Linked DNA regions of Stegostoma tigrinum. The protein of the gene in region 1 interacts with the protein of each later gene in a pairwise test. Links are inferred from orthologs where the notes say so. Each region holds a gene or a part of one and is shown in the gene's direction. Other genes may lie near its edges.

Region 1 (8,063 bases):
TCTTGCATTGGCAATAACCACAATTAGTAGTATTCGCCAGCATTATACGTTGCCCTCAGTCTCGATAGAATAGAATGGACACAAGATTGGAATAACAGAGATTCAGATGTTGCTGTCAGTGATTCTGCATTTCTCTGGATGTGTTCTTATGCGGTTCTGTGTCAAATGCCTTGTACTCTTCCTGTCAGGAGCCTTGTGGTATTTTAATTCATTTAAAAGTGCTTTATTATTATATGCTGTTGTTTATTGTTGCTAAAATATTAATCCAAACACCTTTTCACACCACACCCAAGCTGTATGATATATCGAGATGCTGCAGCTCAGGTCCACTAACAGCATCTTCCAAGTCTGTGACTTCTACATGTCAGAACAGGAACAGCAGATGCATGGGAACATTCCTCTTAAAGTAACACAGTATATTGACTTAGAACTATGTTTTTGTTCTTTCACTGTTGCCAGGTCAAATATGCTGTGGGTGTACCTACAGTAATTCAAGAAGGCAGTTCACTACCATCTTCATACGGATTTACAATGAATTCTGGCCTAATCAGTGGTGTCCACATTTTGCGGTTGCTAACATCAGTACTACCGAACACACAAAGATCTCGTTACATAGCACCGGATTAAAACTGCCATGATGATAAGGGAACTTCACAGTACAAATATCACTCGATTGTTTTGGTAGCTTTCTTCTGGGTTAATGATGGGCACCACTTCTGCTAGTAACCATAAAACCCAGGCCAATATGTGTTCTAAGTTGCTTCATGAAATTGATTGAAATATTGCAAATCAGTCTGGACTTCTGAAGTTGAAGTGAAAACAATAGTTTGCTAAATAATAGTATAGTGAGTATGCATCTTTGTTAAGATTCACAGGAAACATTCTTGTGATAAAATGACCTAAAAAGCAGTCACACACAATTAAACATAAGGTCACATATTAACCTTCAAAGAAATTGTTTTGAGAACTCATATGGTATGATTTAAAACAAAACAAAGGCTGTTCATGGAAAAACAGCACATTCTTAAAGTTCATCTTATTTAGGAACAAGGTATCTCCAACAGATCTTTTCCTTTAATTGCATCAATAAATAAACAATAGGTTGCAGTTCAAATAGTTTATATGAATTAATATTTATTGGTCGTATAATACTCTTTTTTAATTTCAAGCACAATAAGCAAACACTGAGTGGATTTCAGACAGTATCAAAGGCAGGAAGAAATTGTGAGAGAAATCCAGTTGGGTTACACTTAATTATTCTACTCTTAGAGTAAAACTAGTAGAAAAGTGGGAAAATATGGGACAGGAGAAAAGTGAGTGCACAAAGGAAAGGACAATAGCAAGCCAATAAATGTGGTGATTTATTGGTAGAATATTAACAAAGACAAGAAAATTAAGATAGGACATACAAAATGATTTTCAACAATGATATTTTTATTAAAGCTTTTACAATGTAGATTTTTACCCTATAAAATGATGAGATGTTTTATTTTGATAACACCTGGAATAAATAGAATGGAAAACTATGAAATAAGAGCACTTCTTTATTCAGTCTGGGACTTAAAAAGTGAGATTTGAATCTCTGGACAGCATTTAGAGAGGTAATGCAATCCTAATTCTTAAAGATAGTGTTAGAAAAATACAGAAAACAATAGACATAGTAACAAATTCTAATCACTCACTTTTAGCAGTTTGTAAGTATTTTCTCTAGGGAAACACAAAATGTTTATCATTTGGTAAAAGGTTGGAATCTAATCTATGATTTTGGATCATATTGGGTGGAAGAAGATCAGGGGAGTTATCCTAGTATGCTGGCCAGCATTTATTTCTCATGCAGCAAGAAAAACAAATGATGTGACCACTTATGATATTTTCTTTTGTGGCACCTTACTGTGGCACATGGTTTCCTAAAGTACAACAGCTACTATTTTCTCATAGTAATTCATTGGTCTAAAGTGCTTTTGGGTAGCCAGAAGTCATGGAAGTAATTATTGCAATAAATATCTGGTGAGGCCCCAATTTTGTTCTGAAACCATTACAAATGTATAACATGTTGTTTGCAAAACACATAACTTTTGCAAGTCCGACTGTACTGCTTCAGTAATACTTGATGCCATCAAGGTAGTGCCTATGATCAAGTTTAAATGTTTATAGTAACTCAAAAGATTGCCCTTGAATATGTTTACAATTTCACTTTTGTTTAAGAAAACAATCTGACACAATCAGATGTGCTTAAAGGTATACTGCATTCATACACTCCATTTTGAAAAAAAAGCTGAGGGGTCTTTGAACAGACAGGAATAATTGCTAACACTAGGGCCAATTTATTTACAGATGCAACTCACATTTGCAACACCAGAATATTTTGCACTATTTTCTTTGAGTAACTTGTTATTTGGGTGAAAATCATGCAAAATTTGCCAGCCTGATAACTTTTGATTAAGCAAGTGACAAAAACACGAAATTCTACTTCATTAACTGTCTGAAAATTAAATCCAATACTGGTAAAGGTGTCAATTTAGAGTTTATTTTAACCTCGGATAGTCAAATCTAAAATGCTATATCCTATTTATTAAGGCACTTGCTTTGTACTAATTCAATATATTTCTGTAGTTCACTCACCTTGCGCCTGATTTTAGCAATAATGTGGTTAGCTCATTTCGTTTAGTTAAGAACATTAAAACAAGGATATTGAGTGACTGTAATGTAGTCAATGAAACAACCTCTGCAAGGTGCGGAGGTCCTAAATAGGCAAATTTGTTTTTTTGAACTTGATCTTTTGGGAAGATATAGCCAGATAGTTATGAAGTGCGCCACCAAGTGGACATACTTGCTGAGATTAACCACAATCTATGAAGACTATAGTTTTGGAGAAAAATTCACTTCTGTCAATTTAATATATGATTACCGAACAAATCACATTCGACCCATGTAAGATTAGCCCTCAGCATAAAATGGCAGTAACATTTTAAATCAATGTGACTGTTGGGACAGCAGCAGAAATATAGCTTTAGCTATATGCAGGGTTGGAAGAACCAAGCCTCGAAATAGCAATGGTCATTTTATTTCTGTTCCGTACACTTAACTTGATGAATGCGCCTAATATTACCTGAAACGAGTATTGACTGTTCTGAGTCGGGTAATGTTACCTGAACTCTAAAACAATATTTAAACTACAGCTGGTTGGGATCCGCCTGGTTAATAATAAAATGTTGTGTGACTGGCGCCTTGCTGAATAGATCTGCAATTATTTCTTGTTTTAAACATGCTGCATCCAAAGTAGAATGCAGCGCGCGAAGTAAATGATACCTTGAGGGAAAACAAACGTTAGTCTAAAGTATGCATTGCCACTTAAACCCAATACATATCCTCAGACTAAATAGCTAATATTTTCAGAAAACACTCTTTGATAGGCTAAGTTTACACATCAAAATATAATTTTAATCCTTGCGTTGTCACACGGGGGGCATAAATAGCATAAATTTTCACTTGGTGCAGCTGCGTCGAAGATTAACTGTTGTACATCAATGTATCGTTTTATTTCTGTAACAATAAATATTAAAGTTCACTGCAGTTATCGTGAAACTGATACAATTTTATCAACCTGAACCAATAAGACTTCTCAACCAGAAACTATTCTTATTAAGACAAAGGAGGTGGGTTCGATAACAGGAACCACTCGACCTAAAGTTGTTCATAGAACATAGAACATAATTCGTGAAATAGTGAGCAACATTTGTCTAAATCACACGGAAATGACAAAGACAATTTGATTGTGATTTCGCTGTTCATTGCTAACTCTCAGTCCTCAAAGACACAATCCATGTATTTCAGATAATAAAATGTTTGTTTTATCAAGATCCAGTTATCGCTAGCTGACCTGGACGTTGTAATTGTAGCAAAAAACTTACATCAGTTACTGGGTTCGATCTATAAATCACACGTTATCAAATGTACTTCCTGGACCAACTATTTGAAATAATATCACTGTTGTAAAGGTCCTGAGTCATTACGAGGTGCTTCGTGGATCAGACCGGGGGACAGGGGAACTTGAAGTCATTTTGAAATACTAGAGGCAGAGACAGAGGGGACATGAGGCAGAGAGAGAGGCTATGAAATGGGATTCAGCACCCTGGAAGTGGATGAGGAAAATACTTTCACATTCTGGAAAGCGCAACTGAAGGGTGTGAGTTCAGTGGAGAAGCCAATATTTGGGTTCAATGACATCGAGGGTTTTAAGAACTTCAAAACCGGAATGCAAAGAAAATGAATGTCCAGCTCTTTACCGTGGAGCTGCCGTTTATTCCCTATTGCTTCTCCCTCGTAATAAAAACTCAGCGGATCGTTCGGGCTTTCAATACAAATAGCCAAAAAAGAAGAGAAATGAATAAGTCGTAACATAACCAAATAGTCGTGCTAGGGTGTGTGTGTGTGTGGGGCGGGGGGGGGGGGGTGTTGGCTGTATCACAGCCCTGGTTGTCTGTTGAGCTTAAGTATTTCTGAACTATTCAAGTTGAGGGTCTGGAACTCTACCTTCTGTCTGTGAGGGTAGAGGACCGGGGCGGACGGGGGGAGGGTGGAATCGCGGTCTGAAATTCATTCACTTTGCAATCGTTCATTTCCAAACTAAACTACGCTGTGCCAAAGCAATCTTGTCTTTATCATTTGCTTTAAGAAAAAATTTCCAGTCAGTCCTGTTGGTTTCCAGCTGAGAGTAGACGATTTGCGGGTAAATCATGCAATCCTCTTCTGCGATACCTAAAATAGTCAGCCAGCCCTTCTTTGCTACTTTCAGTTTCAAGCAGGGCACGATGTATTTCGAGAGCTCAGATCACTGGGGGCCGGCGGTTTGTGGGCTTTAACAGTGCGGGTTTTGCCAGCGACTGTCCCGGAGACTGATAGCTGCTCTCTCTGTCTCTCTCCCTGCCGCCCCGCTGAAGGTGCGCCTGGTCTCCGGGATGGCTGTACTGAAAGCTCCGCATCGCCACCCCCTTTCCTGTTGCGGTTCACCTCCATTCAACAAATAACGACAACTGGAAGTGTTTGCATGTTTCACTAGGCTGATTTCCTGTGAATAAACTGCACCAGACACGTCCCATACTTTGCCCCCGCACTGATCTGATCGTTCCTTTTCTTAAAACAAAATCTGCTCTCAACTGTACCACACAAGACGCGGATCCGGGAGAAGTTTGTGTTTGCCAAATCAATAAGTCTCAGGGCTTGGAAGATTATTGCTGATCGACGCGACTGCGGAGTGTTCGCTCCGGTGTGTCTCTCTGCACATTTAAGGGGGGAGGGGGGCAAGAGAAAACTGCAACTTTAAATGCGGCGACAATTCTAAGGTACTGTTTACTCGGGCGAGCGTGTTCCGTAGCTTTTGTTCGAAATTCCCTTGTGATTTGTGGCTGCCTCTGTGTGTGCACTTTGTGGTGAGGGCGATTTTGCGGCAACAATTTGCCACCTTATTCTGAGAAATTGTTTTCAACATGTCAGACTGCAGGGAAAGAACGCGTGCGGTATATGCGCGCTTCTCGTGAGTGTAGCGGTTCGGAGCTTGTGTGCTGTGTCACTAAGAGTTGTCGTGTCCTGGAACCAGTTTAACTTTTTAGTAGTCTAACCTGAAGGAAACACTTGACGTGAGTAAGATCTTTGTGGACGTAATCACATATTTAAATGCCCCCCCCCCTCAGCTTTTGACATCCCCGATGGATACTCTTGCATTGCCCCTATAATGTTCGGGTTTATAACATTAATCAGTCTGTCTGAAATAACACGCTCGATTATCGGAGAGTATCTATCATAGTTTAACTGCAAGACTGTGAGTGTGTCAGGATGTGAACCAGAGCAGAATGAAACCGTAATCCTTACTGGGGATTGTACCTCAAATTAAGCTCGTCCTGTGTTTATTAAGTGTGTCCTATGATCTCATGGACTTTGTCTCACTACGGGCAAATAGACGATACCAGAAGCTATTTTGTGCTTGAGCCTTCAGGAGTTGTGTAGCGTATTACTGTAAACCATTTCTCACGCACCTAGTTCTTGCATTATTACAGACGTTGGCTTTTTAAAAAAAATGTCTCCACTAACTATGTAAATGTTCACTCCAGCATTTGACCTGAGCTGACCCATCTCGCTATCATATATGTTCACATCTCATCTAAGTAGTATAATACGCTAAATGTAAAAACAGCCACACTGGCGATGAAGTGTAATAAAACAAATCTCTGACATGAGATTTGCACAAACCAAAAAGCAGGCCTCGCTAAATTCAACTAATACGTCCATCTCACTAACGACTGTCTTCCAGGTTCTAGGAACTCCAGTCGACTTTCCCAATCTTACTTTCTTTTCACATCTGGCAGTTCTGCAGCCAGCCTGCCTTAGACAGGCTCTTCCTCAGCTCTAACTGGTCTCGTACCAGTCCACGTGCTGCTGCAGTCGCTTGCTTGATGCTTGCCATCTTTTCCACAGACATTACAGCTTCTTTTTTGTATTCATTTTTGCAAAACCAAAGTTCTTAGACTGGAATTCCTATTCTCATTGTCTCCAAACATAGGAAGATGCCCAGAAAGATGATCACACCTTGATGCTCCGTAAGCCAATTACCCTACACTTCCCTTCCTGGCATGAGGGCATCAGTGGGGAGAGATTTTTCACAGTGAGTGATTCACTCCTATAAGGCCTTGTCCATGGTGAGAAAATGCCTATGACAAGACATTGCTCAGAGCTAAATATTACCCATGATGAAGTATCATCCATTGTCAGACATTACCCCAGTGAGGCATTGTCCACACTAAGGCTTTCCCATCATAAGTCTTTCTCCATAATAAGACATTTGCCCATGATGAGGCTTTCCCTATAGGGAACCATAGTCCACAGTGAGCCATTGCCCATAATGGGACATTTTTCATAGTATGATATTGTCCATGGCAAGACACTGACTATAGTGAGACACTGCCCACTGCAAGACACTGTCCAAGATGAGGTGTTGCCTATTGTGAGATGCGGTCCATAATAAGACATTGCCAAGGATGGCCCTACAGTGAGACAAAGGCTTAATTTTCTATTCTGCATGAATTTTCATGCTATTTAAGTCGATGAAGGACAATATTGTGCAAGGTGTTAAAAACAGTATCCCAGAAGTTTCCCATCTGATTTACAAAAAAGAAATGCAAATGCTGGCAATAAAAATAAACAAGTTGCTAGAAAAAAAACATTCTGGGTCTGAAGAAAAGTCACTGAACCCAGAATGCGAACTCTGGTCTTCTCTCCATAGTTGCTGCCAGACCTGCTGAGGTTTTCCAGCAATTTCTGCTTTTGTTTCCCACCTTGTCAATTGGATTAAAGTTAATCCCGTTGTGTTGCAAGGCATAAGGGGGAGCCTCAGTTAATGCTTCCACTCCTTAGTAACAAGACTTCTTTATTTTCTTAGTTCTTTATTACCTAACCTAACTCAGACATCAATGTAACACCAGTTTCAATTCAAAATGTCTACATTTGTGTATAGATGTTACCCCATTGGCGGAACTGACCCAATTTTCTTAAATACATAATCATGGCTGGGGATAATCTATTAAACCACGTTTAAAGTATGTTTCCTTGAAATAACTGCATCAAGTTTAAGAGATATTTTTATGTAACTGCTTGGTGAGAATATTATTCCAATAGGTAACTGTACTGGAAAGAAGTTGACTTGAGTGCAAGAATGTGCTTCTAGGTTGTGCACGCAGTTTTTTCTGATATAATAATAACAAGAAGAATTCCATCAAAGTCACAAACATGATACTCAGAGGATGCTTCATACATTAGCATTTTTGGCAGTACAGTTTGGATGCATGTATAGAAATGCTCAAATTTGAAGGTGGTCTCAGAGACATTTCTAGCCCATATTGTCCCTATATGTGCAACAGGATCACATATATCAACTTGAAGATTTACTTGAATAACAACTTGGTAATTTGGGGCCTCTTCAGCTACTTTCAATTTAGTATACAGATTAAATTGTGTATAAACTAATGACCATATTATTGGCGAAAGTGAGCACTCTTTTTCCATGCAGTACT
Region 2 (8,059 bases), on another chromosome or scaffold:
ATAAGTCCCCGGGCCGGATGGGATTTATCCTCGGATCCTCTGGGAAGCCAGGGAGGAGATTGCCGAGGCTTTGACATTGATCTTTAACTCGTCATTGTCTACAGGAATAGTGCCAGATGACTGGAGGATAGCAAATGTGGTTCCCCTGTTCGAGAAGGGGAGTAGAGACAACCCTGGTAATTATAGACCAGTGAGCCTTACCTCAGTTGTTGGTAAAGGTTATAAGGGGTAGGATTTATAATCATCTAGAAAAGAATAAATTGATTAGGGATAGTCAGCACGGTTTTGTGAAGGGAAGGTCGTGCCTCACAAACCTTATTGAGCTCTTTCAGAAGGTGACCAAACAGGTAGATGAGAGTAAACTGGTTGATGTGGTGTATATGGATTTCAGCAAGGCGTTCGATAAGGTTCCCCACAATAGGCTATTGTACAAAATGCGGAGGAATGGAATTGTGGGAGATATAGCAGTTTGGATCAGAAATTGGCTTGCTGAAAGAAGACAGAGGGTGGTAGTTGATGGGAAATGTTCATCCTGGAGACCAGTTACTAGTGGTGTACCGCAAGGGTCGATGTTGGGTCCACTGCTGTTTGTCATTTTTATAAATGACCTGGATGAGGGCGTAGAAGGATGGGTTAGTAAATTTGCAGATGACACTAAGGTCAGTGGAGTTGTGGATAGTGAAGAAGGATGCTGTAGGTTACAGAGAGACATAGATAAGCTGCAGAGCTGGTCTGAGAGGTGGCAAATGGAGATTAATGCGGACAAATGTGAGGTGATGCACTTAGGTAGGAGTAACTGGAAGGCAAAGTACTGGGCTAATCGTAAGATTCTTGGTAGTGTAGATGTGCAGAGAGATCTTGGTGTCCATGTACACAGATCCTTGAAAGTTGCCACCCAGGTTGACAGGGCTGTTAAGAAGACATACAGTGTTTTAGCTTTTATTAATAGAGGGATCAAGTTCCGGAACCAAGAATTTATGCTGCAGCTGTACAAAACTCTGGTGCGGCCGCACTTGGAGTATTGCGTACAGTTCTGGTCACCACATTATAAGAAGGATGTGCAAGCTTTGGAAAGGGTGCAGAGGAAATTTACTAGGATGTTGCCTGGTATGGAGGGAAGGTGTTGTGAGGAAAGGCTGAGGGACTTGAGGCTGTTTTCATTAGAGAGAAGAAGGTTCAGAGGTGACTTAATTGAAACATATAAAATAATCAGAGGGTTAGATAGGGTGGATAGGGAGAGCCTTTTACCTGGGATGGTGACAGTGAGCACGAGGGGGCATAGCTTTAAATTGAGGGGTGAAAGATATAGTTCAGATGTCAGAGGTAGTTTCTTTACTCAGAGTAGTAAGGGAATGGAGGCTTTGCCTGCAACGGTAGTAGATTCGCCAACTTTAGGTACATTTAAGTCGTCATTGGATAAGCATATGGACGTACATGGAATAGTGTAGGTTAGATGGGCTTGAGATTGGTATGACAGGTCGGCACAACATCGAGGGCCGAAGGGCCTGTGCTGTGCTGTAATGTTGTATGTTCTATGTTCCACCAACCTTAAGTGTCGTCTGCAAACTTACTAACCCATCCTTCTACACCCTCATCCAGGTCATTTATAAAAATGACGAACAGCAGTGGACCTAACATCGACCCTTGCGGTACACCACTAGTAACTGGTCTTCAGGATGAACATTTCCCTTCAACTACCACCCTCTGTCTTCTTTCAGCAAGCCAATTTCTGATCCAAACTGCTATATCTCCCACAATCCCATTCCTCCGCATTTTGTATGATAGCCTACTGTGGGGAACCTTATCGAACGCCTTGCTGAAATCCATATACACCACATCAACCGGTTTACTCTCATCTACCTGTTTGGTCACCTTCTCAAAGAACTCAATAAGGTTTGTGAGGCACGACCTACCCTTCACAAAATCGTGCTGACTATCCCTAATCAATTTATTCTTTTCTAGATGATTATAAATCCCATCTCTTATAACCTTTTCCAACACTTTACCAACAACTGAGGTAAGGCTCACTGGTCTATAATTACCAGGGTTGTCTCTACTCCCCTTCTCGAACAGGGGAACCACATTTGCTATCCTCCAGTCATCTGGCACTATTCCTGTAGACAATGACGAGTTAAAGATCAATGTCAAAGGCTCGGCAATCTCCTCCCTGGCTTCCCAGGGGATCCTAGGATAAATACCATCCAGCCCAAGGGACTTATCTATCTTCACCCTCTGTAGGATTTCTAATGCCTCTTCCTTGTGAACCTCAATCCCACCTAGTCTAGTAGCCTGTGTCTCAGTATTCTCCTCAACAACATTGTTGTTTTCTAGAGTGAATACTGTCGAAAAATATTCATTTAGTGCTTTCCCTATCTCCTCTGACTCCACACACAACTTCCCACTACTATCCTTGTTTGGACCTAATCTTAGTCTCGTCATTCTTTTATTCCTTCAATACCTATAGAAAGCCTTAGGGTTTACCCTGATCCTATCCGCCAACAACTTCTCATGTCTTCTCCTGGTTCTTCTGAGCGCTCTCTTTAGGTCTTTCTTGGCTACCTTGTAACCCTCAAGCACCCTAACTGAGCCTTCACATCTCATCCTAACATAAGCCTTCTTCTTCCTCTTGACCAGAGATTCCATTTCCTTCGTAAACCACGGCTCCCGCGCTCTACAGCTTCCTTAACCAAATATCTTGAACTGTACCCACATCCAATACTTCCTCTGGAAGTTCATTCCTCAGACAGTATTAAAATATAATCTCTCTGGTAACCTTTTCTTTCAGCTTTGCCCCTTCCATACCTAGTTTGGTCATTGTCTCGCTTTGTTCATGCCCATTAACTTATCTCCATTGTCCAGAACCCATGGTCTGGATTTTATATGACCACATGGGGCAAAGGGAGTGGCAGAGTATGAGATCAGCCTGTTGAACCTGGATCCCTATTGTGTTATCAAAATTGATGTGGTTCGACAGCCTGTAATCCCAGCAATAGTCACAGGTCCCAATGTTCTCTACTAGAACTGCAGGGCTGCCAGCCATGGAATCGGCGACAACTCACTAAAATGGAACTCCCTTCCAAGAACTAAGAATTTAAGACTATAATGTATGGGAGCAGAGGTAGGCCATTCTGCCCAATCCGCCTGCTCCACAATTCAATAAGATCATAGCTAATCTGATTATCAGTCTAATCAGGATTAACAGTCTAGTACCACCAGATCACTTCCTGCCTTATCTCCTTTGATTCTCTAAGGAAATTATAAATTTCTCTCTCGGCCTTAGACCATAAGGTATAGGAGAAAACTTAGGCCATGTGGCCCATCAAGTCTGCTTCATCGTTTGATCATAGCTGATATGTTTCTCAATTTCATTCTCCTGCCTTCTCCCCATAACTCTCAATTTCCTTGCTAATTAAGAACCTCTCTGTCTTACATACAATCAATGACTTGGCCTCCAGAGCCTTCTGCAGCAATCAGTTCCACAGATTCGCCACACTCTAGTTGGAAAAATTTCCCTTCATCTCAATTCTAAAGGGCTATACTCTGAGGCTTGCTCTTGGGTCCTAGTCTCTCCTACTAGTGGGAACATCTCCATGTCCACTTTAATCAGGTCTCTCAGTATTCTACAAGTTTCAAACAGATCCCATCTCATCCTTCTAAGCTAGACGTAGAGCCCTTCATCCCTAGAATCATTCTTGTAAACTTCCTCTGGATTATCTCCAATGCCAGCATATCCTTCCTGAAACTTGGGACCCAAAACAGAACAAACCACCGCAGGAAGTGACAGAGGCAGGGACTGTCACAGCATTTAAAACATATTTAGATAGATACAGGAATATAATGATTTAGTTCAGTTTGTGAAACCTGTTTGACATGGATTAGTTGGACCAAAGAGTCTGTTTCCATCCTATATTACTCCATTACAATATTTCAGTTGCGGTCTGACCAGAGCTTTATACAGTCTAAGCCATATGCCTCTGCTCTTGTATTCTAACCTTCTCAGTCATACAGCATGGAAACAGACCCTTCCGTTTAACCCATCCACGCTGATCAGACATTCCAATCCGGCCTAGTCCCATTTGCCAGTATCTGTCCCATATCCCCAAATCCCGTCCTATTCATGTACCCATCCAGATGTTTTGTAGTAATTGTAATTTTGTAGTAATGTTGTAATTGTACCCACACCTATCACTTCCTCTAGCTGCTCGTTCCATACATGCATGACCCTCTGCGTGAAAAATTTATCTCTCCGGTCATTTTTATATTTTATCCCTCTCACCTTAAACCTATGCCCTCTACTTTATATTATGTGCAGTTTTGGGCTCCTTTTCTGAGGAAGTATGTCCTGTTTTCGAGGGAGTGCAGCGAACCCCCAAACCCGCTCCTCCAATTTTCTGATAATTCTCACTTTCTCTGTGCTGATAATTTTTTTTCTTTCTTTCATTCCAGTTTTACACCTCCTTCCCGCCCAAAAGAAACTCGCGCGCCCAACGGCACTGGAGAACAGGCCCCGCCCTCTCAGTGGCCCCGCCTTCTCCAACAGCTCCCTTCACTCGGCTCCTCTCCCCGCGGCAGGACCACACCTCGCTACCCAAAGACCCGCCCCCCACACCACAGCCACGCCCGCTACATGGACCACGCCCTCAAAAGTTCGACAACCCAAGTTTACCCCATGCTGACAAAGTGTTGAAGCTGGATGAACACAGCGGGCCAAGCAGCATCTCAGGAGCACAAAAGTTGACGTTTCGGGCCAAGACCCTTCATCAGAGAGGGTTGATGAAGGGTCTCGGCCCAAAACGTCAGCTTTTGTGCTCCTGAGATGCTGCTTGGCCTGCTGTGTTCATCCAGCTCCACACTTTGTTATCTTGGATTCTCCAGCATCTGCAGTTCCCTTTATCTCTGATCACAATTTGCCCCATTCTCCACGGCCAGCTCCACCCGCCCTCCCTCCAACTGGCGCACCCCGCAGGCCCCTCCCTCTTATTAACACGCACCGCTGTCTCGCCCGTTCATCCAGACCACGCCCATATTGCGTCGCCTGCGTGATGATGTCAGCGGGGAGAGGTGGGCCCGGGGTCGAGGCGATGCCCGGAGATGGCGGATGACGGGGAATTGCGGGTCAGTATTAGGAGGTCTCGGGAGGGAGAGGGAGAGCGAGCGGGAGGGACGGGGTTGTTCTCTGCAGTGGTGGCACCGGGTGGAGCCAGCTGTCGATGTTGATCGAGCAGAAGGAAAGCATTCCCCCCACTAACCACAGCGAACTGGCCCGAGCGCGGAGGCGCGCGTCGGGGGAACGACCGTCGTGGGCGCGCCTGGAGGGCTCTCCGTAACAGAGCAGGCCCCCACCCCAAACCTCACCCTAAATCATGCCCCACACATACTACTGGTTCCCTCTTAAATTCACTGACACTCCCTCCCGCACCAAAACAAGCGCACGACACCCCTCCTCACTGACACTTATCCTACTGATGACAGCCCCCACTCTGACCCCATCCTTCCCAATGACCCTCCGCTCCCCCGCCACAGCGACCTGCCATTCGCCCTTCTGATCCCCTACCGACCCCCTTCCCAACCATCATATCGATACACCCTCACACTGACACAACTTCACCTCCCCCCCCCACCACGGACACCCCTACCCCACACTGACACACCATCACCCCCCTCCAAACTGACACACCTCTTCCACCCCCCCCACACACTGACCTGTCATCCTCTCTGCTGACCCCCTACCCCTCACCAACCCCCTCTCCCCATGCTGACATGCCCCCACTGCCCTGCTGGCAGTCCTCCCATCCTGACAATCTGGCATCTTCCGCACGACCCCCCGCCACCCCCCACCAAGCCCCCAAAACTTCCATAAACACTCTTATTCTCAACTACATCCCTTTCCCCAGGTCTGTTGATATGCCATCCCTTTTCCAACACCGTCACCAACCACTCCTCCATACTTCCTGTTTGCAGCTGCTTTCCACCACTTCCAGCTTTCATTCCCTCACCCCAACAGTCACACTTAGAACATAGAACAGTACAGCACAGAACAGGCCCTTCAGCCCACAATGTTGTGCCGACCATTGATCCTCATGTATGCACCCTCAAATTTCTGTGACCATATACAGGTCCAGCAGTCTCTTAAACGACCCCAATGACCTTGCTTCCACAACTGCTGCCGGCAACGCATTCCATGCTCTCACAACTCTCTGCGTAAAGAACCTGCCTCTGACATCCCCTCTATACTTTCCACCAACCAGCTTAAAACTATGACCCCTCGTGCTAGCCATTTCTGCCCTGGGAAATAGTCTCTGGCTATCAACTCTATCTATGCCTCTCATTATCTTGTATACCTCAATTAGGTCCCCTCTCCTCCTCCTTTTCTCCAATGAAAAGAGACTGAGCTCAGTCAACCTCTCTTCATAAGATAAGCCCTCCAGTCCAGGCAGCATCCTGGTAAACCTCCTCTGAACCCTCTCCAAAGCATCCACATCTTTCCTATAATACGGCGACCAGAACTGGACGCAGTATTCCAAGTGCGGTCTAACCAAAGTTTTATAGAGCTGCAACAAGATCTCACGACTCAAACTCAATCTCCCTGTTAATGAAAGCCAAAACACCATATGCTTTCTTAACAACCCTGTCCACTTGGGTGGCCATTTTAAGGGATCTATGTATCTGCACACCAAGATCCCTCTGTTCCTCCACGCTGCCAAGAATCCTATCCTTAATCCTGTACTCTGCTTTCAAATTCGACCTTCCAAAATGCATCACCTCGCATTTATCCAGGTTGAACTCCATCTGCCACCTCTCAGCCCATCTCTGCATCCTGTCAATGTCCCGCTGCAGCCTACAACAGCCCTCTACACTGTCAACGACACCTCCGACCTTTGTGTCGTCTGCAAACTTGCTGACCCATCCTTCAATCCCCTCATCCAAGTCATTAATAAAAATTACAAACAGTAGAGGCCCAAGGACAGAGCCCTGTGGAACCCCACTCACCACTGACTTCCAGGCAGAATATTTTCCTTCTACTACCACTCGCTGTCTTCTGTTGGCCAGCCAATTCTGTATTACCAAAAGCCGCAGCAACATCCACATTGTTCCCACCCACCAAACCATTTACCTGGCATCTCGTTGCTCACACTGATAAATTCATCTCTTGCTTGATGCCCCCACTTTTCAACACTGATGCAAAACTATCCCCTGGCCCTGCAGCCCCCACCTTTTCAGCATTCTCCACCCTGCCTCTCTGCCCTACCTTTTCCCCACTCTAACAGATTCTGAGGAAGGGTCAATAGATCCAAAATGTTAATTCTGATTTCTCTACACAGCTGCTGCCAGACTTGCTGAGCTTTTCTAGCAACTTGTTTTTGTTTCTAACAGATTCTCTGTTTTGCAGCACATGGTGATGAGCTTTAGAGTGTCGGAACTACAAGTGCTGCTGGGATTCTCTGGCCGGAACAAGACAGGCCGTAAACACGAGCTGTTGACCAAAGTGCTGTACATGCTGAAGTCTGGCTGCAGTCCAGCTGTGCACATGAAAATTAAAGAGCTCTACAGGCGTCGCTTCCCTCGCAAGAGCCACACCACCATGGAGTTGCCTTTACTATCTGTCCAGAACGCCGTGGCTCACCCTTCAGCCAGTGCATCTCTGGCTCTTGGCAGCAATCCACAGCTTCACTACAGTACCTCTGCTGCCTCGGCCTTGGTGTCCCCACTGTTGTCGCCCCTCAGCATGCTCACTCCCAAGCGAGAATTAGATTTACAACATCTGTCCCCCCCAGTGCATCCAGACGTCAAAATGAGGAGGCTGCCATTTTATGACATCTACGATGAGCTGACCAAACCAACCACATTAGGTAAGGCCGTGGTGATGAATGGCCTGGGGGCTTGGAGGGGAAGATATGGGGTGGGATGGAAGTTGATGGATTTGGAAGGATTGATATTGTTGACCAGTGGTCGTTCTGTGCCCAGCACGCCTGGAATTTGATGGGACCTCCTGTTTGGTCTGAAGATAAGGTAAAGGTAAAATTGCTATAGTCTTACCAGACTATAGGGCTGCTCCCTC
Region 3 (6,924 bases), on another chromosome or scaffold:
GTTTTGAGACCCTTATCTACAGAAAATACACTTGCATAAGAGGCAGTCCAGAGAAGGTTCACCAAACTGATACCAGTGATGGAGGGAAGACTTGTGAGGACAGGTTGAGGAGGTTGGGCCTGTGTTCATTGGAGTTTGGAAGAATAAGAGGTCACCTTTAGAAAAGATACGAGTCTCTTTGGAGATTTAACAGGATAGATGTGGAAAGGTTGCTTCCCCTTGCGCGAGTGTCTCGAACCACAAGATAATCTCAGAATAGGGGATCACTTTTTACAAAGATGATGAGGAATTCTGGCTTTCAGAGGGCAGTTAACTTGTGGAACTATTTACTGCAGAGACTGGGTTTTTATGTAAGTTCAAAGCTGAGACAGATAGATTTTTAATCAATAAGGGAATCAAGGGTTATGGGGAAAAGGCATGAGGGTGGAGTTGAAGATTATTGGATTAACCATAATCTCACTGAATGGCAATAGCAGGCTCTTTGGGCTGAAATGCCCACCTCTGCTCCTACTCTTACGCTCACTACAAATCAAAATGATCAAAATCCAAGAGTTAGACAGAGGGCAAAACAATGGCAAATTGAATTTTAATACAAGGTTTTGCAGAGGAATACACATCTATGGATGCAAAAAATGTGCTTCCTGTTTCAATTAACCGATTTGCGATGCAAAGTAATGCCAACAGCATGGCTGCAATTCCTGCACCATCTGAGGTTAGGATGAAACATAGAAACATAGAAGATAGGAACAGGAGGAGGCCATTTGACCCTTCAAGCCTGCTCTACCATTCTTCACAATCATAGTTGATCATCCAACTCGATAGCCTAATCCTGCTTTCTCCCCAAAACCTTTGATCCTGTTCACCCCAAGGGCGACATCTAGTTGCCTCTTGAATACATTCAATGTTTGACATCAACTGCTTCCTGTGGTAATGAATTCCTCAGGTTCGCCACTTGTTGAGTAGAGAAATATCTTTTCATCTCTGTCCTAAGAAGTCTACTGCAAGTCCTTTTACTGTGACCCCTGGTTCTGGGCACACCCACCATCGGGAACATCCTCCCTGCATCTACCCTCTTCAGTCGTTTCAGAACTTTATAGTCTCTATGAGATCCCCCTCATTCATCCGAACTCCAGCAAAAACAATCCCAACCTAGTGAAAACTCACTCCAACCCTTCTTAAGAAAGGTCCAGACCCGGAACGTCAGCTTTCCTGCTCCTCTGATGCTGCCTTACCTGCTGTGTTCATCAGCTCTACATTTTGTTATCCCAACCTAGTCAATCTCTCCACATACGTCAGACCCGCCATCCCTGGAATCAGCCTGATAAACCTATGCTGCACTCCTTCGAAAGTAAGAGCATCCTTCCTCAGAAAAGTAGACAAAACTGAACACAATATTCTCATCAAGGCCCTGTATAACTGTACCACGCATCGCTGCTCCTGTACTCAATGGTCCCTCCACAAAACATAGAACATAACAGTGCAGTACAGGGCCTTCGGCCCTCAATGTTGCACCGACCTGTGAAACCAATCTGAAACCCACCTAACCTACACTATTCCATTATCATCCATATGTTTATCCAATGACCATTTAAATACCCTTAAAAGTTGGCGAGTCTACTACTGTTGCAAGCAGGGCATTCCACATCCTTACTACTCTCTGAGTAAAGAACCTACCTCTGACATCTGTCCTATTTCTATCACCCCTCAATTAAAAGCTACGTCCCCTCGTGCTAGCCATCACCATCCGAGGAAAAAGGCTCTCACTGTCCACCCCATCTAATCCTCTGATCATCTGGTATGCCTCTATTAAGTCGCCTCTTAATCTTCTTCTCTCTAACGAAAACAGACTCAAGTCCCTCAACCTTTCCTCATAAGACCTTCTCTCCATACCAGGTAAAAGCCTGGTAAATCTCCTCTGCACCTTTTCCAAAGTTTCCACATCCTTCCTATAATGCGGCAACCAGAACTGTACGCAATATTCCAAATGTGGCTGCACCAGAGTTTTGTACAGCTCATGAAACTCAATCCCTCTGCCAATAACACATAACACACCATATGCCTTCTTAACAACCCTATCAACCTGGGTGGCAACCTTCGGGGATCTATGCACATGGACGCCGAGGTCTCTCTGCTCATCCCCATACCAAGAATCTTACCATTAGCCCACTACTCTGTATTCCTGTTACTCCTTCCAAAGTGAATCACCTCACACTTCTCCGCATTAAACTCCATTTGCCACCTCTCAGCCCAGCCCTGCAGCTTATCTATGTCCCTCTGTAACCTGCAACATCCTTCCACACTATCCACAACTCCAGTGACTTTAGTGTCATCCACAAATTTACTAACCCATCCTCTATGCCCTCATCCAGGTCATTTATAAAAATGACAAAAAGCAGTGGCCCCAAAACAGATCCTTGCAGTACACCACTAGTGACTGAACTCCAGGATGACATTTCCCATCAACCATCCCGCTGTCTTCCTACAGCTAGCCAATTTCTGATCCAAACCGCTAAATCATCCTCAATTCCATGCTTCTGTAATTTCTGCAATAGCCCACCATGGGGAACCTTATCAAATGCTTTACTGAAATCCATAAACACCACATCAAACGCTTTACCCTCATCCACCTGTTTCGTCACCTTCTCAAAGAACTCAATAAGATTTGTGAGGCACGACCTACCCTTCACAAAACCATGTTGACTATCCCTAATCAAATTATTCCTTTCTAGACGAATATAAATCCTATCTCTTATAATCCTTTCCAACACTTTACCCACAACCAAAGTAAGGCTCACTGGTCGAAAATCACCAGGATTGTCTCTACTCCCCTTCTTGAACAATGGGACATTTGCTATCTTCCAGTCTTCTGGCACTATTCCTGTAGACAATGACGAGTTAAAGATCAAAGCCAAAAAGGCTCTGCAATCTCCTCCCCAGCTTCCCAGAGAATCCTAGGATAAGTCTCTCTCCTCACCAGCTGTGTAGTGACTCTCGGCTGAAGCTACCAGCGGCCGTCTCTCTCTCTCTCTCTAATGAGAAATTAATGAAAAAATGAAAAATCCCGCAGGACTATGGTGACTTTACTCACTTTAACCCAATGCCCCTGTTCACTCAGCGAAGGTGCCAGCTCTCTAGAATTGCCCCTGGTGCATTCAGCAATCAGAGGCTCATCTCCAGGGCTCTGATGTGGCCAGAACCCCCTCCCTGCTGTCCAGAGATGATACTCACAACGGAATAAATCCAGTCCAGCGTTCGCTTACTCACACGGATCATGGTCCTTGGCTATGGCAACCCGACAAAGCCGATCACTGGAGGCTGCACTCACAAATATCAAAATAAAAGGCCAAGGAGATTTAAAAAGCAAACCAAAGCAAAGCACTCCGGGAAAGACTCGGATCGAACCCGATACGTTAACCCTGCTATTCTCTCTCTCTCTCCACAGATGATGGGTTTCTTCTCCACCTTTTTTTATAATTTGTGATCTAAAATAGCACCACACCGCCTTCTACCACTTTTTGGGTTGGTGCAGTAAATCCCCGTGGCTGAGATATCCTGATTCAGCGAAACCAAAATTCTTCGGCATCGCTGCGTCGGGCAGAAACGACTTCACACCGCTCTCTCAGCCGGTCCTCCGAGGGTCGCGGAGTGGGTCCTCCACTTTCCCGGCGGCCAAAGCGTGACGGTGGGTGGTGCATGTGAAGGCGGAGGCCAGTTGTGGGTCTTCTGACGTCTCGGGCCGGGTAGTCCTCCAGCGTCCCGGCGGCCAGTGCGACGCCGTCACTTACTGCGCTTGTGTGATGGTGTCACCTCCTCACAGGCAGTGGCTTGTCCCCAGACTGAGCCTAAGGGGTAGGGAGTGGGGTGGGTGGGGGCTTTAAGTGGGAATAATCCGAGCAAATGTTCACGGTCGGATCCAGGAGGAAGAGGAGAAGAAGGGGGGCGCGGGATGCTATAGCATTTAAGGAAAAGGAAAAGAGTTGCAGTTACAATACTGTATAATTCGAGTGAAGTGTGTGGAGGATCGGGCAGTGAGCGGCTGCAGCAGGTAAGAGAGATCCTGGGAGGGGTAAACTGCCTGGGTACTGGGGCCAGGCGTAGGCATTCTGGTCTGTCACCTCAGTGAGCACCCCGTGGAACAATTTGTGGAGCTACGAGATGTCAAGGCAGCTAAAATAAAACAATTCGAGGCCAGAGACTTTTAAACCAGAACCTGAGTCAGTGGCATCAATTCTGAGGGAAGGTCGCTGGACTCAAAACATTAACCCTGATTTCTCTGCACGGATGCTGCCAGACCTGCTGAGTTTTTCCAGCAGTTTCTCTTATTGTTTTGGTGGTATTCTTGGTATTCCTTCCGTGGAGGGAGGTTCCAGCTCAATCATGAAATTAAAGAGCCAGACAATTCAGGAAGCAACTCTTCACACAAAAGGTGGTAGAAGTGTGGAATCCTCTCCTTCAAAGCACAATCCTTACATAAGTCTGTGAGCATTATAGATTTTTGCTGGAAGAGTTAGGGGTTTGAGGTGTGGCTGATTGGGGTTCTGCCATCATCTTACTGATGAGGGAAAATATCAGAAGTCACATGATAGCATGTTATAGTCCAACAGATTTATTTGAAATCACGAGCTTTTGAAGTGCTTTCGTAGTCACCTGATGAAGGAGTAGCATGTCAAAAAGATAACTTGGTGTGAAGCTGGATGAATACAGCAGGCCAAGCAGCATCAGAGGAGCAGGAAAGTTTGACGTTTCGGGTCAGGACCCTTCTTCTCTGTAACACTTCAAAAGCTTGTGATTTCAAATAAGCCTGTTGGACAGTAACCTGGTGTCATGTAATGTCTGATTTTGTCCACCCCAGTCCAACACCAGTACCTTCGCATGATGACAGATAAACCAGCCTCAGAGGGCAAAGTATTCTGCCCATTCCTGTATTAGAACGTCTACAAAAGTGTCAGTTACTTTACACCAGCTTTTCTCTCTGTTTAAGCAGAAATCCACTTTTTAGCCATGTAAAGATAACCAGATGTTTGCAATAAAAGATTAGAAATGGCCTGATGTAACCACTGAACAAACCGTTCTTTTGGTTCTGAAATCTGCTTTTGACAGCATGAAAAACTTGTATGAAATACATCTGGGCAAAGTTCTGGGATAGTGAACTCTCATTCTCTAATTTGGCATTTCACTGAGATGTTACAAGGATCGCTGGTGCATGTAAAGGTGGTACCACCTTGTCGTAATTTGAGGTTCCATTTGAGACAGAATAAAGTGAACTACAATCTCTGATCAGAGATAATGGGAACTGCACATGCTGGAGAGCCCAAGATAACAGTGTGAAGCTGGATGAACACAGAAGGCCGAGCAGCGTCTCAGGAGCACAAAAGCTGATGTCTCGGGCCTAGACCCTTCATCAGATGAAGGGTCTAGGCCCGAAACGTCAGCTTTTGTGCTCCTGCGATGCTGCTTGGTCTGCTGTGTTCATCCAGCTTCACACTTTGTTATCTCGAACTATGGTCTCTTTTTATTTCATTCATGGGACGTAGGCATCACTGGCTATGGCTCAGGTTCTGGTTTTAAAAGTCTCTGTCCTCGAATTGTTTTATTTTTGCTGCCTTGTCACCTTGTAGCTCTACAAATTGTAGGCATCACTGGCTGGCCAGTGTTTATTGCTGATTCCTGGAGTGACTTGCTAGGCCATCTCAAAGTGGCATTTCAGGGTCAGTCACATTTCTGTGGATCTGGAGTCACATGTAGGCAGACATTGAATTCAGATTCCACCATCTGCTGTAGCAGATATGAACCTGGATCCCCAAAACATTAATTGAGTTTCTGGATTAATAGTCTAGCAATAATACCCCGAGACCATTAGGATTCTGCATGCAACACCTGTGCCTGTCAATGAGAGCTTCTAAAGCATGAGAAAATACTAACAGACATCAGCATCCACGCATTTGTTTCAAAAATATATTCATTCATAAATTATCTTTAAATAAGCACAACAAGAATTTTGACATGCACCAGAATTTCAATCCAGTTGCAACAAAAAGGTATTTTATAATCGTGAGAGGAAACTATTTACATTTTCATTAAGGTTACAAGGCTATCTTGAAACGTAACATATCTCCCCTCATTATATTTTGGCAGAAGGACTGCCAAGTAAGACTGTAGTCTGTGCCTTGGCAGCAGCTGCCCCAAGCTGTTGTGCATTCCTCAGAATGGAGCCTGGACCTTCGCATGTTCCAGTCTGCAGCGCTCAGTCGAGGTAAACTGTTTGCACTGGAAGACCAACAAGTTTCAGGCAGACTAAAGAGTGTCTGTCATTGAGTCCATGGCCCTCCAAGTGCAGTCACTGTTTGTTTTGGTGTGTGACTTAGAGACTAGCCTATAGATCACAGAGGCCTGTGTCACAGAGCTGCCCAGGATGAAACTTGACAAAAACCACTGCATCTCTCTCCTGACCTTAATTGCAAAGGCACATTCCAGAAAGAGATGTGTGATAGCCACCACAGCAGCATGCGGTTGTGGCCGGAGACTGGCTATGCATGAAGGATCTGACAGCTGATACCCTTTTCATTGCTAGCCAGGCTAGGTCTTGGTGCTTGTTGGAAAGTTCTGGTGACAAGATGACTTCAGTCTTCCATATACAAATGGAGTGAGTGCTGATCCCTTTTATTGATATTGTGACTGCACTGTATATCAGTGGATCTCTGTTTCTGTTTTGGCCAGTTCTTTCCTGCACTATAGCAGGACGAGATACTTTTGTGCATCAAGATTTTGTTTTCAAGAAGGATTATGTCGGTACACCCATTGATTGAATTAGAATCCTGAAAAAAATGGAGAGACAGATGTCCTTGCTTTTTAAATGCAGGCACTGTGTTCAGAAGGGAAATGTTACCCATCAAAAGATAATTTCACATTAAGTAAATGTTTTTC

What was found.
Region 2: the proteins of DNA-binding protein SATB1-like (region 1) and E3 SUMO-protein ligase PIAS3-like interact in a two-hybrid assay, tested with the Homo sapiens proteins (2 studies listed by BioGRID and IntAct). The link is inferred for Stegostoma tigrinum from reciprocal best matches to the Homo sapiens genes SATB1 and PIAS3.
Region 3: the proteins of DNA-binding protein SATB1-like (region 1) and E3 ubiquitin-protein ligase Topors-like interact in a two-hybrid assay, tested with the Homo sapiens proteins (2 studies listed by BioGRID and IntAct). The link is inferred for Stegostoma tigrinum from reciprocal best matches to the Homo sapiens genes SATB1 and TOPORS.

What each region holds. Positions count from the first base shown.
Region 1 is NC_081355.1:105,008,858-105,016,920, reverse strand, and holds the start of DNA-binding protein SATB1-like, read left to right. Parts: upstream 1-5,044; 5' UTR 5,045-5,342; intron 5,343-8,063. UniProt on the Homo sapiens protein: Crucial silencing factor contributing to the initiation of X inactivation mediated by Xist RNA that occurs during embryogenesis and in lymphoma.
Region 2 is NC_081400.1:478,392-486,450, forward strand, and holds the start of E3 SUMO-protein ligase PIAS3-like, read left to right. Parts: upstream 1-5,006; 5' UTR 5,007-5,091; coding exon of another isoform or gene 5,092-5,098; coding exon 5,099-5,115; intron 5,116-7,374; coding exon 7,375-7,850; intron 7,851-8,059. UniProt on the Homo sapiens protein: Functions as an E3-type small ubiquitin-like modifier (SUMO) ligase, stabilizing the interaction between UBE2I and the substrate, and as a SUMO-tethering factor.
Region 3 is NC_081356.1:30,233,784-30,240,707, reverse strand, and holds the start of E3 ubiquitin-protein ligase Topors-like, read left to right. Parts: upstream 1-3,884; 5' UTR 3,885-4,045; intron 4,046-6,924. UniProt on the Homo sapiens protein: Functions as an E3 ubiquitin-protein ligase and as an E3 SUMO1-protein ligase. Probable tumor suppressor involved in cell growth, cell proliferation and apoptosis that regulates p53/TP53 stability through ubiquitin-dependent degradation.